2 linked regions of the Xenopus tropicalis genome follow. The protein of the gene in region 1 interacts with the protein of each later gene in a pairwise test. Links are inferred from orthologs where the notes say so. Each region holds a gene or a part of one and is shown on either strand. Other genes may lie near its edges.

Region 1 (7,577 bases):
TCGGGATTAGTAAATGTGCCCCCAAGTGTGAAAGTAGCCATACACGTTAAGATCCACTCGTTTGGCTTAGTGGCCAAACGAGCAGATCTTCTCCTGACATGCCCACCTAAGGTGGATGATATGGGGCTAATTTGATCGTTTGGACCTAGGGCCAAATGATCAATTTCCAACAACAGGTAGAGGAGCCTTCGGACTCAGGACCGCATCTATGAGCTGATGCAACCTCAAATCCGATGGGAAAATAAAACCTGCCTGATTTTTTGGCCTGGTATGGATCGGGGAGGCCCATTTGGGGGGCCCCATACATGGCAGATAAACTGCCAAATTGTTCTAAAGGACTTAAATTTACAGCTTAAATCTGTTCGTGTATGGCCACCTTGGCTCATGGCTTGCAGGTCAGTGGCTTTATATAAGGGTTGGACAACAAGATGCTGGGGGTTATAGCTTGTTTTGGGATGTGTATTGCCAAAGAACAAACTAACTTAAGACCTTAATAGCAAGCCATGATGCTTTATTAGGGATTTATTCATTGCTTCTATATCATAACATATATTGGACTGAATATTACAAGGTATAATTTGGTTTTTAATATTGTTTTTTTCTCCAGACAGGGGCTGATGAAGGCTATTCTGTGGATGTTGTACTGTCGGACAGTGAAGATGAAGCTCCCTTACCTAAAAAGAGAAATCAGGGTCTACGCGTTGCTCTCCCATTCACTAACAAAAAGTGTGCCGGCAAGACTGCGAAAAAGAACCCCGACTCCTCACTTGTAAAACCAGGCAAAAAGGATAGTAAGAAACCACCCTCTAGAGTGAAGAAAGAACAACGATCCTGCAAGAAAAGACCAGCTCCTGGATCTGATTCAGAAGATGAGGATCCTACTTCCAACGTCGAAAATCCAAGTGCTTTGCTGAAAAGGGCAATGAACATAAAGGAAAACAAAGCAATGGTATGTAGCAACAAAACAGCTGACATGGTGACTTTTTACACATTTAGCCATATTTACCAGCATTTTAAATACTGACAAACTGAGACACCTTAGTGAGGGCATCACCCACATGGACTTACAATTGAAAGGGAGGCAGGTATAGGCGAGACATGGGGTATGTAGTTACGGACATTTATGATTATGACTGAATGGGTTTTGTCTTTTTGTCTTTCAGTTATTAACCCTTTCCCTGCAAAACATGTAGCTCCTACATGCTGGCAGGAAAAGGCTGTATGGGTTAATGTCTGCAAGAGGAGTATATGACCTGTACAGCATTCTTCCTGCTAAAGGGGATAGGACATTAACCCTATCCTTCCTGTGCTGCTTTTACAGGACTTAGCACAAAGGATTTTTCAGTTAGTAAAAACAAATCTCCCTTTTTTTTTTAATTTGTTAACCCTAATCAGTATATATTGGTTTATTTTATATGTTTAATTGTGAATCAGATTTGTGTTTAATACAGGTTTTCTAATTTTCTTTTTTGTATTCATTTTTTTAATTTCAGCTTGCTCAGCTTTTGTCAGAACTTAATTCAATGCCAGATCTCTTTCCAGTAAGGACACCTTCCACATCACCCGCAGTGAGTACCGTGTCTGCTTTATAAGAATTATATACTTTACTTTATGCAATGTAAGCCAAAATTACAGTTTTTTTTCCCCTCTAGAAGCAGAAGAAGACTCCTCGGAGGACATTTTCTGAAGGTCATGTTGAACGGCGTACAAACCCAAACAGAAGTGCTCGGCCACCAGAGAACTTTGGTTTGGAAAATTTTGCTTTGTCAGCTGTTAAGTTTGCTGAGCATGTTCATAAATATGGCAAGAAAGCTTTTATAAAGCGGACTTTGAGTGAGGTACCCAATCGCTTTCTTTAAACTATGTCTAACAACTAAGTATCTTTTCCTGGGGGGTAATGCTTTTCAATAACCCTAAATGGCAGTTAATGTTGTGGTGTTAAAATGGAGACCACTAAGTAATTAAAGGGATACAGTGGTTAGTGTTTATTTAGGCATGAAAACAATGCTTTTTTTTGTAAAGTATGTTTGTGTTGTGTGTATTATTTATATACACTTTTGATTTGAAGAGTGTTCCAAAGAGAATGCTAATGTCACACAGGTGGATTCTCCACCAAGGGAGATTTCTTTTAGTGACAGTTGTTAAAATAGACTTGATCTTTTAATATAGGATGAGAGAGAACAATATCAAAAGAGGAGGCGATCTTCCAAGAATACTGTGGTGCGTGCCGTAGAAGATATTACAGAAGAGGAGCTGCAAAATGTTGCAGACTCAGTCAAGGATAAAATTTATGATAAGATTTTGGTAAATATCCAGCTTTTCATGTAAATGTATTTGTATAGGGAAATATATTTGTATTACTATATTGGGCTCAAGGCACACGTGGTGTATTTTTCACCATTATTTTTCAGCCGGTAGAGAAATGCCTGAGCCTGTCATTTACATTAGTAGAATTTGTCTGTCAACATTAATGGAGAAATTATAAGTTCTTAAGAATATTTTGTTATTTTTAGTCTTTCCTTTCACCCACAATATACTGTATTTAGGAAATAATCAAATTGTTTGATCCGTTTTACAAACTTAAGGGGGCATTTACTAACGCATTTACTTTTTTTTTGACGCTGAAATATGAATTTGTCACAGGGTAAAACAAAACCACAACAAATCTAAATACAAAAATATGGTATCTAAAACCTGTTGATCATGTAGAAGTCAGTGGTAGATGGCCCTTTTACAACTGGATCTTTCTTTGCTTCTTGGTTTTAGAGGTTTTCTGTGTTTTTTTTTTTCCCTCTGGCTTATGTATGACAATACAAAAAGCACGGTTTTCATGTGACCAAACGGAAAAGTCTAGGTTTTCTCATTTTTTTCTGCACCTTTTAAGTTTGGTCTTTTTCAGTTCAGATCTTTTCATAAATGACTGACCTTCATGGAAATTAGTTTAGTTGTGGTTTCAAAAATCTATAAAACTACGAAAATCCGAATGGTAATAAATGCCCCCCTAAGAGTGTAGTGTAGAACATACTTGCTCCTTGCAGAAAGTTCCCTGGGGTCCTTGCTTCAATCCCAGCCAGGGCACTGGCTGAAAGGAGTTAGTATACTTTGGTGTAGTTTTGTTTATTGATCCTGCAAATCCATTAAACGGAGACTGGAAATAGTTCTTTCCAAAATATTGTAATTTTGTTCAGTAAACTGGTGTGTGTGTGTGTAAATTAAGCTCTTCTTTTTTTTTTTTTTTTTTTTTTCCATTTTAGGGTAGTACTTGTCATCAATGTAGGCAGAAAACAATTGACACTAAGACAGTTTGCCGTAATCCTGGATGCGGTGGTGTCAGAGGGCAATTTTGTGGGCCCTGCTTGCGGAACCGATATGGGGAAGATGTTCGAGAAGCACTTTTAGACCCTGTGAGTAACCCAGCCTTGGTCTGAAGCTATATAATAGTGCAATTTAATAGTGACACCAGCTGTGTTTGGCTTTTTAAGTTTATTTCTTTCTGAGCCACTAATAGTGTGTCTTATGCTTCAGAAAGGGACCTGTTTAATTAAGCTTCTTGCCTCTTCAAACCACTTTGACTTATTTCTGATATTATTTATGTATGTTTATAACATTTTCTTAATGTGTTTTTAAATGAATGATACATTCTGTATTTTTTATTATTGTGTTGACTCCTGTTTGTACTGTTAATTCTAATGTACAGTACTGCATGCCCTATTCTATGCATGTGTAATGCTGTCTTCGGAATGCTCTATACAGTATGTAGGTTGTTCCCCTTAATGCTTTAACTGAATCCTTTTAAGTGCCCCTTACCACTACATCTGCCTCCAGTTTCATTTATATGACTAAAGGCATGTCATCCCTAGAACTGGTGCTTTTCACCTGAAAATTCTCAAATAAGCAGTTCCAACACCATCATCAAACCTGTTTTTTATGTAAACGAATTGGTTAGTGGTGATTGCCACATGACTTCATTCAAATGAATTTTTCCATTTCCTTCTACCACCTACCTCAAAAAAGTTGTGTGTAATAAAATGTTTGTGTAGTTTACTGCAGGATAGTTCTATTTTTCTCTTCTTAATTCCAGGATTGGATTTGTCCTCCTTGCCGTGACATTTGTAACTGCAGTTACTGTCGAAAACGCGATGGCCGCTGTGCAACTGGCATGCTCATTCATTTGGCAAAGTTCTCTGGTTATGACAATGTGAAAGAATACCTTGAGAGGTACAGACTTTCTACTTACAGATTCATTCCCTATTTTACGCTTCAGGAATTGTATTAAAAGAATAATACTTCTGTTGAAACTGTAAATTATTTGTATCAGGCATGTTATTGTGTAGCAAGTAGAGATGTAGAAAATTAACTGCTTGAGCAGATCCATCTCTCTGTCCCTGCTTTGAGAAGAAGCATGTGTATAGCACTCCATATTGCAGTTTTATTATACCATACTTAACTTTTCTCCTTCTCTTTCAGCCTGAAGAAACAAATGGAGGATGAAGACTGAACAGCTGTAAACAACCACAACTAGAACTAATCCCAGTGAACGTTTCTACTTATGGCTAATAAACCCTGTGTATCCATTTAGGCACAAGGAACAGTAACACCAAAAAATGAAAGAGCTTTAAGGTAATAAAAATATAATGTACTATTGCCCTGCACTGGTAAAAGTTGTGTGTTTACTATAGAAACACTACTATAGTTTATATAAATACACTGCTGTGAATCTATGGGGGCAGCCATTTAAGCTGAAAAAAGGAGAATATGCACAGGTTCCAGACCAGATAATATTCTGTAGAATATTATGGTTTTTTTATCTGCTACCTGCTAAGTAACCTGTGCCTTTTCTCCTTTGAATAGCTGCCCCCATGGCTACACAGCAGCTTTGTTTCCAAAACGATAGTAGTCTTTCTGAGGCAAACACACAACTTTCATCAGTGCAGGGCAACAGTATATTATATTGTAATTATTTCTATACACCTTGTTTTTGATGTTACTGTTCCTTTAAGCAACACCCTTTTTAAGTAAGGAACAAAAAAATGTGCCTAATTGGCACATTTTCTTCTTTTAAAAAGAAATTTAAATCCCAGAATATACGGTTTTGTACATGTTTTTAGTAGGTATCCAGAAATTTTATATTAGTGTGTATATATATTTTTTTAAAGTTTTAGTTAAAGCTCTTAATCGCTGAAGTTTCCTTGTTCACTATGAATACTGCAAACATGGAAAGGTTTGTAGCTGATTTGACCATGTTGTAATGCTAAATTGGCCTGATCTGGGCATTTGTTCTACTTTATAAAAAGTTGAAGCAGGCATTTTTTGTTTTTTTTATCACCTCACCTGAGGACCAATGGAGACACTGGTAGACAGTTTGTCATGAATCCTTTACTCTGTATTCTGGCCAAACTCAGAACTGCAGCAGTTTCATTTGTGACATGACAAGTCCCCCTGTTTACAGTATAGACTGCGATTGCAACTGTATTTTATCACTGATGCATTTATAGTACTCAGCTTTTATCCTTACAGAAGCCGTAACACAAGGAGGCAGGTACTGCTTTTTTTGTTTATGAAGCAGTGTAAGAATAGCGCTGTACCTTGATATTGTGAGTTTAACCTTTTTGTTTAGCTGGACAAACAATAACAATCATTTGCATGGATGCTAGTATTATGGTCCCTGTAAGCAGGAGAAATGCACTGATGTTGCAACTTCCCAGTTTGGGCATAACTTGTATATATGCTGCTGTCATTTCAATCATAGCTGGTAAAGGGGTGGTTCACCTGTTATTAATTTTTAGTATGATACAAAGAGCGCTATTGTAAGACAATCTGCATTTGGTCTTCATTTTTATAATTGTGTCTTTTGGATTAGTTTATGTTTTTGTTTGGAATTTTAGCAGCTATCAGTGGCTAGGGTGCAAATTACACTAGCAACCAGGTAGTGATTAAAATGAGAGACTGGAATATGAATAGGGGGAGAACCTGGATTGAAAGATTAGTAATATAGCCTCATACTGCAATAATTTTTGACTGCCGGTGTCAGTAACCCCCATTTGAGGGCTGCAAAGAGTCAGAAGAAAACATAATTTAAAAGCTATAAAAAATTGACAAATTGAAAAGTTGATAAGAATTGGCTATTATATATCATAGTAAAAGTTACCACTTAAAGGCAAACTACCCCTTTAAACTGAGCTATAAATTGATGTTGTACAACAATGTTTCATACTTTTCTGTGGCTCACTAATGCTCCTTTTGATCAAACTTTTTATTCACTTTTTGGTCAGCATCTCTCCAGTTAGAAGTTTTAGCAGTTATCTGGTTGCTAGGGTCCAAATTACCTTAGCAACCAGGAAGGTATTTGAATGAAAGACTGAAATCTGAATAGGAGAGAAATGAATCAAAAGATAAGGAATAAAAAATAACAATAACAAAATTGTAGCCTGACAGAGAGAGTTTTTTGGCTGCTGGGGTAATTGACCCCTATTTAAAGACTGGAAACACTCAGAAGAAGGCAAATTAAAAAAATATTACAAATAAATAATAAAGACCAAATTAAAAGTTGCTTAGAATTGGCTATTGTATAACATACAATAAAAGTGAACCTGAAGAAGAGAAGGGATGGTTGGAACTGGGCAGAGAAGGCATGTACACGTAGGTAGCTGCCAATGAGGATGGGCAATCTGTGCAACACATGCCTTGGTGCATTACAAACGGACGGAAATGTGGTCATTTATATTCTTCGGTTAAGTAACTGCCACTGGGTTTATTTTCTTGTATTTAGAGTCTTTTGTAATATGTTTAAACTGCTGCTGTTGGATTTGGCACATTGCTAGAGTTTGTAATGGAAATACTGTCCCTATCATATTAAATATGGCTAACTTAGTAAAATACAGTGTTTAGATGTTTGTCCAGCGTGCTCTTAGGGATGCAACAAAATAGTGCAGGATCATCTAATGTTGCCAGTTTTACTGAGCAGTGACAGTAGCTTTTAGATTGAACAATTTTTTTCTGATGCTTCTCATTTCAGTGCAAGAAAACTGCATGCTTTCTCCCCCAAATTCAAGGTGTATTCAACAGCAGTGCTGAGGGCTACCAGCCCATTAATCCAGGCAGTCAAATGCATTTTAAACAAAGAGTATACCCGGTCTGCTTGTCAATGTGTTAGTTTGATACAAACTTTTTGGAAGACCAGACCAGCTTTCATGAAACGCAAAATAAGTGCAAGGATGAAGACACACAGAGCTACTAGTAGCAGCTACTTGTCATGGCTACAAAAATAGACAATACTGATCATTTAATGATAACTGTCTCTATGTGTGTTTTAGCAGAGGCAATTCTCAGTATTGTCTATGGCAGGGAATGTTGGCGTTAAGTAGCCATGACAAGTAGCTGCTACAAGTAGCAATGTGTATCTTCACCGTAACTGCTGGCATTTATTTTGTATGATCTATAATCGAACTGTCCCAGTGTCCTGTAACACCTATGTGCACCAATCTGCTTTATCTTTTAGTTTCTTAATTATGATAAATGCAAATAATTACTGTAAAACTTACTATTTAGAGGGGTTATTCTGACTGTATCAACCTTTT
Region 2 (7,266 bases), on another chromosome or scaffold:
GATGTAACCATGCTCAGAAGAGATAAGAGAAAGCGCAGCCCGCAGTGACTCAGGGCATCACAGAACATTACACCTAGAATATTATCCCAATAGCTCATTAATCAGTTGGTGGCAAGACGGATGTGTTTTGGGCCGCAGGGCAGGTAAATGGTTAAGAAGTCTCTTCCCTCCACCCCAAAACAGTTCCGCGCGCTTTTTTCTCATTACAGTAGGCATAGCGGCCGATGTGGGATAATATGATTTTAATGACCGGAACCGTCTCCTGGCTCCTGCGTGGTTATCAATTAGACGATGTATACGGGCTCCAGCAGGGCAGCCTCGGCTAGCGCTCCTCCAAGGTCAGCACCGAGTGTGGGCTGCATTTAACCGCTTCCTGCTACCGGATTCATATACACAGGCCATGCAGGGACAGATATATTGGCTACCGGCCCCACAACAACTTGCTCTGGGCTCCATGCAGATGAAGAAGTGGAGTCAGTCTGGGTTAATTGGTGATATTGTAAAGGTTTATCTGGTAACCCACAGCAACCAATAAGCAGTTAATATGCAATAGTGTAGTATGATTTATGGAAGCTAACATCTGACTGGCCATTTAATTAGGTACCCCTAAATATACAATTGAGCAGGCACAAGCAATCTGTAGTACTACAACTCCCAAAGCCAACGTTGCATGGAGAGGAGACATACGACGAAGATTACCTTTTTGGTTGTTGTAGAGAGCACCATTCTGAAACAATTTGCAATTGGTCTTTTTTTTTTTTTTAATTTCTGGTTTTACAATTCTTTAGCTTTAGATTCATCAACTCTACAGCTTGGAAATGTAGCAGCTATACGGTGGCTAGGGTCCAAAATACCCTAGCAACCAGTCACAGGTTTAAATGAGAGACTGGAATATGTACATTTAGGAGCGGGTCTGAATAGAAATATGAGAAATACAACAGGGGCAAAAAATCTGGTACAGGTATAGGACCCATTATCCAGAAAGCTTGGGACCAAGGGTATTCCGGATAAGGGGTCTTTCTGTAATTTAGATCTCCATCCCTTAAGTCTATAGGATTGTTTTGCATCCAATAAGGATTATTTATATCTTAGTTGGGATCAATTACAAGGTACTGTTTTATTATTACAGAGAAAAGGGAATCATTTAACCATTAAATAAACCCAATAGGGCTGTTCTGCCCCCAATAAGGGGTAATTATATCTTAGTTGGGATCAAGTACAGGTACTGTTTTATTATTACAGAGAAAAGGGAATTATTTAACCATTAAATAAACCCAATAGGGCTGTTCTGCCCCCAATAAGGGGTAATTATATCTTAGTTGGGATCAATTACAAGGTACTGTTTTATTATTACAGAGAAAAATGAAATCAGTTTTAAAATTCAGAATTATTTGATTAAAATGGAGTCTATGGGAGACAGGCTTTCCGTAATTCGGAGCTTTCTGGATAATGGGTTTCCGGATAAGGGATCCCATACCTGTATAGTGAAGTGACACGAATCAGACAAAACCGAGGACCAGATTTGGATCAGTATTCTAAGCCTTCGCTTCACTGGGAGCTCTTGTTTGTCGACTATATGATTCAGAACCATCAACCATGTTATGTGGGAGTCAAAAGGAGACCCCATTTAATACGGTCTATAGTTGTTAGTACGCAAAATGCAGCACCAAGTTATCATTTGGCAGCTTGTTAGGAAAGGAGGATTAAAGGGAGAAGATATACTTGCAGCTAAAAATCAGTAATTTACAGAAAAGTCCCAGTGACACAGGCATGACGTAGCCCTTAGAATCTCCCTAGAAACTGCATTTTCAGAGGTTATATGTCCCCTGTCCCCCCGTCCCCAGCGAGCAATTATCAGACGCCTGCCATAAGATCAATAGCCTCCAGTTCTGGGAATCTTTAGGAGCGCTCCTATCGGCTGACAATAGCCATTCTGATATATCGATTGCATCCTTGCCGAGTTTTATCCGAGCGCCAGAGGTGCAGCCTGTCTCAAGTGTCTGCTCGATGGCTGCCTCTGCCAGTTATTGATCCGAAAGCCAAACAGGATCTTTTAAACAGCAGCGTCTGGCATTTGAGTGGCAGGGAAACAAGCCAATGAGCCAGTGCTTTATTCTTTACACTCAAAAGCATGTCATACAGTATCGGAATACAGGCCGTAAATATGATCAGACATAAGGCTTCACTTACTGTGACAGGAGTGTTAACCTACTCACTGCCCTTTGGGCAAGGGCACAGTAAATAGCAGCTAAAGCCTTACGGCTACAGGGAGTGATTTCCCATGCATAACCCCTACCAGCCAAAGATGTGATTCAGCAATCTTTTTAAAACACAGAAGGAGATGCAAATTATTATTACTGTACTTTATATAAAAATACCAAACATGGACATTTGGATGGCATCACCTTGGACTCACGTCAAAAGACAAAAAAAAAATGTAGCAGATGGACAGAGGGTGGGTTGCAGGAAAAAATGGCAAATCCAAATGTTAAAAGTTCTATTTACATATAGATCCTTCGGGGCAAGGTATTTAGGGTGCATTTGTAGGAGGCCGGTAGGTGTTATAGCGTCTCCAGCAGCTCCTGAATTCTCTTTTGCTCACTTTCCCGGAACTCTTCGCTCTTCCCATCACCAATGCTCTCAGAGTATTCTACAGGGTAAAAATAAGCAGGGAAATTAGATATGGAGAAAAAAAAAAGTGACAGCCCTCCCGATAAGAAAAACTGGCAAAGTAATGGAACAGATGCAGAAGAAGTTTCCTAGAAGGTCCCATATATTCCTTGTTGTCCCCACATATTTCTTACAGTCCCCATGTATCCCTTACTGTCAGCTAAGCACAGTACACCCACTCCCTTCCCTGTACTTTCCTCTATTGCTACATAAAACTCCCCCATTGTTCCATATAACCCATAGCTATAATTCCCCCATTGTTCCCTTACCCCCTTCCTTATAACTCCTCCTACTGCCCCATATTACACGCCTATCCACACTCACACCAGCCCCCTTGGTGCCTCCATTTTCCTCTTCCCTATAACCCCACCCTCTCAGTTCCATATAAACTTTACAGCCTCTCACTCACGTATCATATAACGTATCATATAATCCCCTGGCCCTTTGTTCCATATATTATATAAATAACCCTTAAAATCTGACAGAGGAAGTAGTAATGTAAAATGGGGAAAAGACAGTCCAGTACAGCATATGGGGATGTGGATCTCTTGAGTTAAAACTTACCTTTTAGAATATGTCTCATGATTTTCACAGAGCTTCCCCTCATGTTTAGAATTTGCAGCACTCTCTGGCGAATCTGGAATTAAAAGCACAAGAAAATGTGAGTGAAAGAGACAAGAAAGGGAAAGGAAATCCCATAACGTGTTGATCAAAAAGTAAGAAGTGGAACTGCAAGCAAGGAGAGAAGGTAGGAAGCAGCCATGGGAGGAATGCAAACAAAGCCAATTTAGCATGGATTAGGCAACAGGGGATAATAATAATTAAGTACCGGCCCACAGAAGGGAAGAACATAGGCCAATATCTCTATTAGCAACAGTTACTATATCTTATTGCTTAAACAATTATTGTGCCGCTACCCAACGCCAAGCGTATGCATCCATCTCTTCCTTAGATGATAAAAATCATCACCCCTGCTTAATAAAGCAGGCTATTGCATTTCATATAAAGATGGTTACACCCCATAAAGGTTTGGGGACCACTGCTGGAAGGCCATTTGAGCACTGGCAAACTAAAACTGAGGGATGGTGAAATTCTGATGGTTTAAATATCTGTGTAATTTGTAGCTGGATGAGGAGGCATCACTGCAATACGAAACACGGTGCTCCCTCCTAAGTATCTTATTCTCACTGTTTTCCTAAGTTTATCCAATATTCCTAAACTAATGTCCTACCACAGATTGTTCAAAGGGTTTCTCACCTTTAAATTAACTTTTAGTATGATGTAGAGTGTGCTATTCTGAGGCAATTTGTAATTGGTCTTTATTTTTTATTGCCTGTTTAATTGTTTAGTTTTTTTGTTCAGCAGCTATCTTGCTGCTAGGGTCCAATTTAACCTAGCAACCAGGCAGTGGTTTGAAAGAGAGGCAGGGATAGAATTAGAGAAGGGACTAAACAGAAAGATATGTAACACTACCAATAACATTGTAGCCTCACAGAGCAATAGTTTTGTTGGCTGCTGGGGCCAGTGACCCCCATTTGAAAGCCGGAAAGGTATACAAAATAAAACATGAAGACCAACTGAAAAGTTGCTAAGAATAGGACATTCCATTCTGTACTAAAAGTTAACCTGAAGATGAACAAGAGCTGGTGGGTTGCAGGATGGGCATACCTGCGGCAGGTTGTTGTTACAGATCTCCGCTGTGACGTAACACAGGAGCTGAAGCAGGAAGAGGCCGGCATCCAATCTTCGCAAGTAAAACTCCTCCTCGACATCATCATCTAAAATCTCCCCTCGGCGCACCATATCCTGCCAGCACAACATACTCCATTAAGGACAGGTGGCAAAACAAGGGAAATGGAAGTAAAAATATTTAAAGGAGAACTGAACCCTAATAATGAATAAGGCTACAAATGCCAAATATTTTATATACTTATTGCACCAGTTTAAAGATTCAGCATCTCTAGTTGTAATGACCTTCAGTTGCCCCAGAAGCTCCCCATCTTGGTTTCTGCTAGGAGTGTCAGCGACACTGCACATGCTCAGTGGGCTCTGGGGTGGCTGCTGAGAAGCTTAGCTTGGGTTATCACAAATCAAGCAGAAAATGAGGTTTGCTTATAGGGCTATTACAGTCTGACGCAAATTGCACTGGTTTCAGAGCAGCCATGCAATGAAAATTACTAATCAGCCTTATATTGTCACATTTATATTCTATATATACAGTATATTGTGCTTCAGTTCTTAAGGTTAGGTAAGTGACAGCAGTAGTATGTGCTACTGGGGGCATCTTTAGAACCATAGATCTTTACTGCTTAACGGCGGTGGTTGCTCTGTTCTAGTACAGAATCCAAAAACATTATGTACAACATTTGTAGCCTCATTTACGCCTTAGTCCTCTTTTAACAGGGAGCAAAAGGGATAGGAGAAAGAATAGTAAGTGGGGGAGAGAAAGAGAGTAAGGGCAGATATGAACAACTGGAAGGTTAACAGCAAATTAACAGCTACTTTAGGACATTCGCTTTAAGCTGGAGAAGAAAACTACATGAAGTGTGAGTGAAACTGGTTATTAGAATAGATATCCAATGTGAGAACAGGGATACTAACATGCTTCTCTCCCTCGATCTTCTTGTCAGCCACCCGTACAGCCTCCAGGTATTTAAAGTACAACTCCATGAGCCGATCCACCTGCGGGAGAATCAGAAGGCAAGAAAAAAAAAAGCTTAACATTCCAGGTCCAACACGTGATGTGAACTATTTCTGTGCTCATCACAGGTGTAAGAAGAGCTTTCGCATTTCACACTCACCTTTTCGCAGTCACTTTCTGTGAACTTGCTGAGAAGCCGTGTCCTCTGCTGACCCCTCAGGTTCCGCAGCAGCGAGGCCAGGATGGAGCACACGTGTTCTGTAGGAAAAGCAAAGAACAATGTTTGGGGGGGAGCTGGGACATCTTGTTACATACATGGAAAGAGGAAATAACATGAAACAAATGGAGTTATATAAATGGTGGCATAGGAACTGTATATATGGATAGATACTTATTACACACACTATTAAAATAATCAGCATTGGAAAGCAGCCTACAGTCCATAACCCCCACTAGGTAGAAGGATTATGAGCCCATATGGAAGAGCTGCCTTAATAAAAGGAACAATTAAATAGCTAACAAGGGGGGGCAGACTTATGTCAGGAAATTTTCTTTTTCTCTCTCGACGTCTGCTAATCCCTTTGGCTTAAGCATATTGTGCTGCCAGCAAAGCACCGTTACCCTCAATATTTTTTCACAGTTAGAGATTAGCCTCTGTGAGTTAAACTGGAAAGCTGCCAGTTGGCTGCCTGGTAATGATACTCAGAGCTTAGCCGAAGCTCTAGGGAGACCAGTGTCAAAAGCAGGGTGGGAAATAGGCACTTGGAACAATCACAGCTGGGTCCTGTGAACCTTCATCAGTGGGTTGGGGCAATATGCTGGTTGCTCACAGTTACTATCCAGGTCTAGACCAGTAGGTTTGAATAGTTATTTTGCTAAGAAATTAGTGCCGGGCGATTCCAAAAAACAGTAGGCGCAGCTTCCATTGCCTTCTCTAGCCACTTACCCTCATGCTCCTTCTCAGAGACGCCGGTTTTCTTTGCTTTTTTGGGAGATTTCATGAAAAGAGGAAAGATGGTTCGGAGTCCGAGGATGTCGACAAACTTGTGACAATTATCTGTACCCTCTGGGCCGATCATGGCGTGATCTAATACCCGCAGGGCACTGCAACGGGACATTTTTTTCTCGCTGTAAAGAAATGGATAGGGTCACTGCATGATAAATAGCACAGACATATCCAGACTGCATTTAAAGGGGATCTAAACCCAAAAAGAAAATTAGTGTAAAATGAAAAAATGCTCAGAGCAATACCATCACCTGGGGTTCTCCAGATGGTGTTAAACTGCAACCTGTTGCTATATGGAGGGCCTGCAGTTGCCGCTGCCTAGTCTATGTCAACCATACTTGGAGTCAGGAAGGAATTTTTTCCCCTCTGTGGCAAATTAGAGAGGCTTCAGATGGGGTTTTTTGCCTTCCTCTGGATCAACTAGTAGTTAGGCAGGTTATATATAGGCATTATGGTTGAACTTGATGGACGTATGTCTTTTTTCAACCCAACTTACTATGTTACTATGTTACTATGCTAGCAGGAATCCATTTCCTGCCAACTTTTACAATATTAAAAAAAAATTGACACAAATGCCACTTCCATGGCCCTGGTAAAAACTACAGCTTTCAGCTTATCACAGGTGGATTGCCATAATGTAAAAATTTGGAAAGCAACACAAGCACCATAAAAGTTCATGGAGGAGCCAAATAAGGGCTGTGATTGGCTATTAGGGGCCTCTATGCACCCTATCAGCTTACAGGGGCTTTATTTGGTAGGAAATCTTGTTTTTATTCAACAAAAACAAAATTACCCAGGTGCGACAGAGTACAGATATATGGTAAGGGGTATATATTGTTCCAATGTACTGTAGATGGGTTATATTATCCCTAGGACTTATTTCTCACCGGAGCATGAGGTTCATGAGCTGCAGACCCTCTCCCTTCAGGAACCTGTCTCTGTTGCTGCT

Evidence for each region. The genes of interacting proteins can lie anywhere in the genome.
Region 2: the proteins of cdca7l (region 1) and ctnnbl1 interact in binary tests that used the Homo sapiens proteins (3 or more experiments, as listed by UniProt). The link is inferred for Xenopus tropicalis from reciprocal best matches to the Homo sapiens genes CDCA7L and CTNNBL1.

Annotation. Positions count from the first base shown.
Region 1 is NC_030682.2:39,650,624-39,658,200, reverse strand, and holds the end of cdca7l (cell division cycle-associated 7-like protein), read left to right. Parts: intron 1-607; coding exon 608-949; intron 950-1,493; coding exon 1,494-1,568; intron 1,569-1,652; coding exon 1,653-1,838; intron 1,839-2,169; coding exon 2,170-2,304; intron 2,305-3,254; coding exon 3,255-3,404; intron 3,405-4,081; coding exon 4,082-4,218; intron 4,219-4,467; coding exon 4,468-4,498; 3' UTR 4,499-5,304; downstream 5,305-7,577. UniProt on the Homo sapiens protein: Plays a role in transcriptional regulation as a repressor that inhibits monoamine oxidase A (MAOA) activity and gene expression by binding to the promoter.
Region 2 is NC_030686.2:39,412,260-39,419,525, forward strand, and holds the end of ctnnbl1 (beta-catenin-like protein 1), read right to left. Parts: coding exon 7,205-7,266; intron 6,440-7,204; coding exon 6,258-6,439; intron 5,570-6,257; coding exon 5,472-5,569; intron 5,353-5,471; coding exon 5,272-5,352; intron 4,477-5,271; coding exon 4,339-4,476; intron 3,308-4,338; coding exon 3,235-3,307; intron 2,651-3,234; coding exon 2,562-2,650; 3' UTR 2,096-2,561; downstream 1-2,095. UniProt on the Homo sapiens protein: Component of the PRP19-CDC5L complex that forms an integral part of the spliceosome and is required for activating pre-mRNA splicing.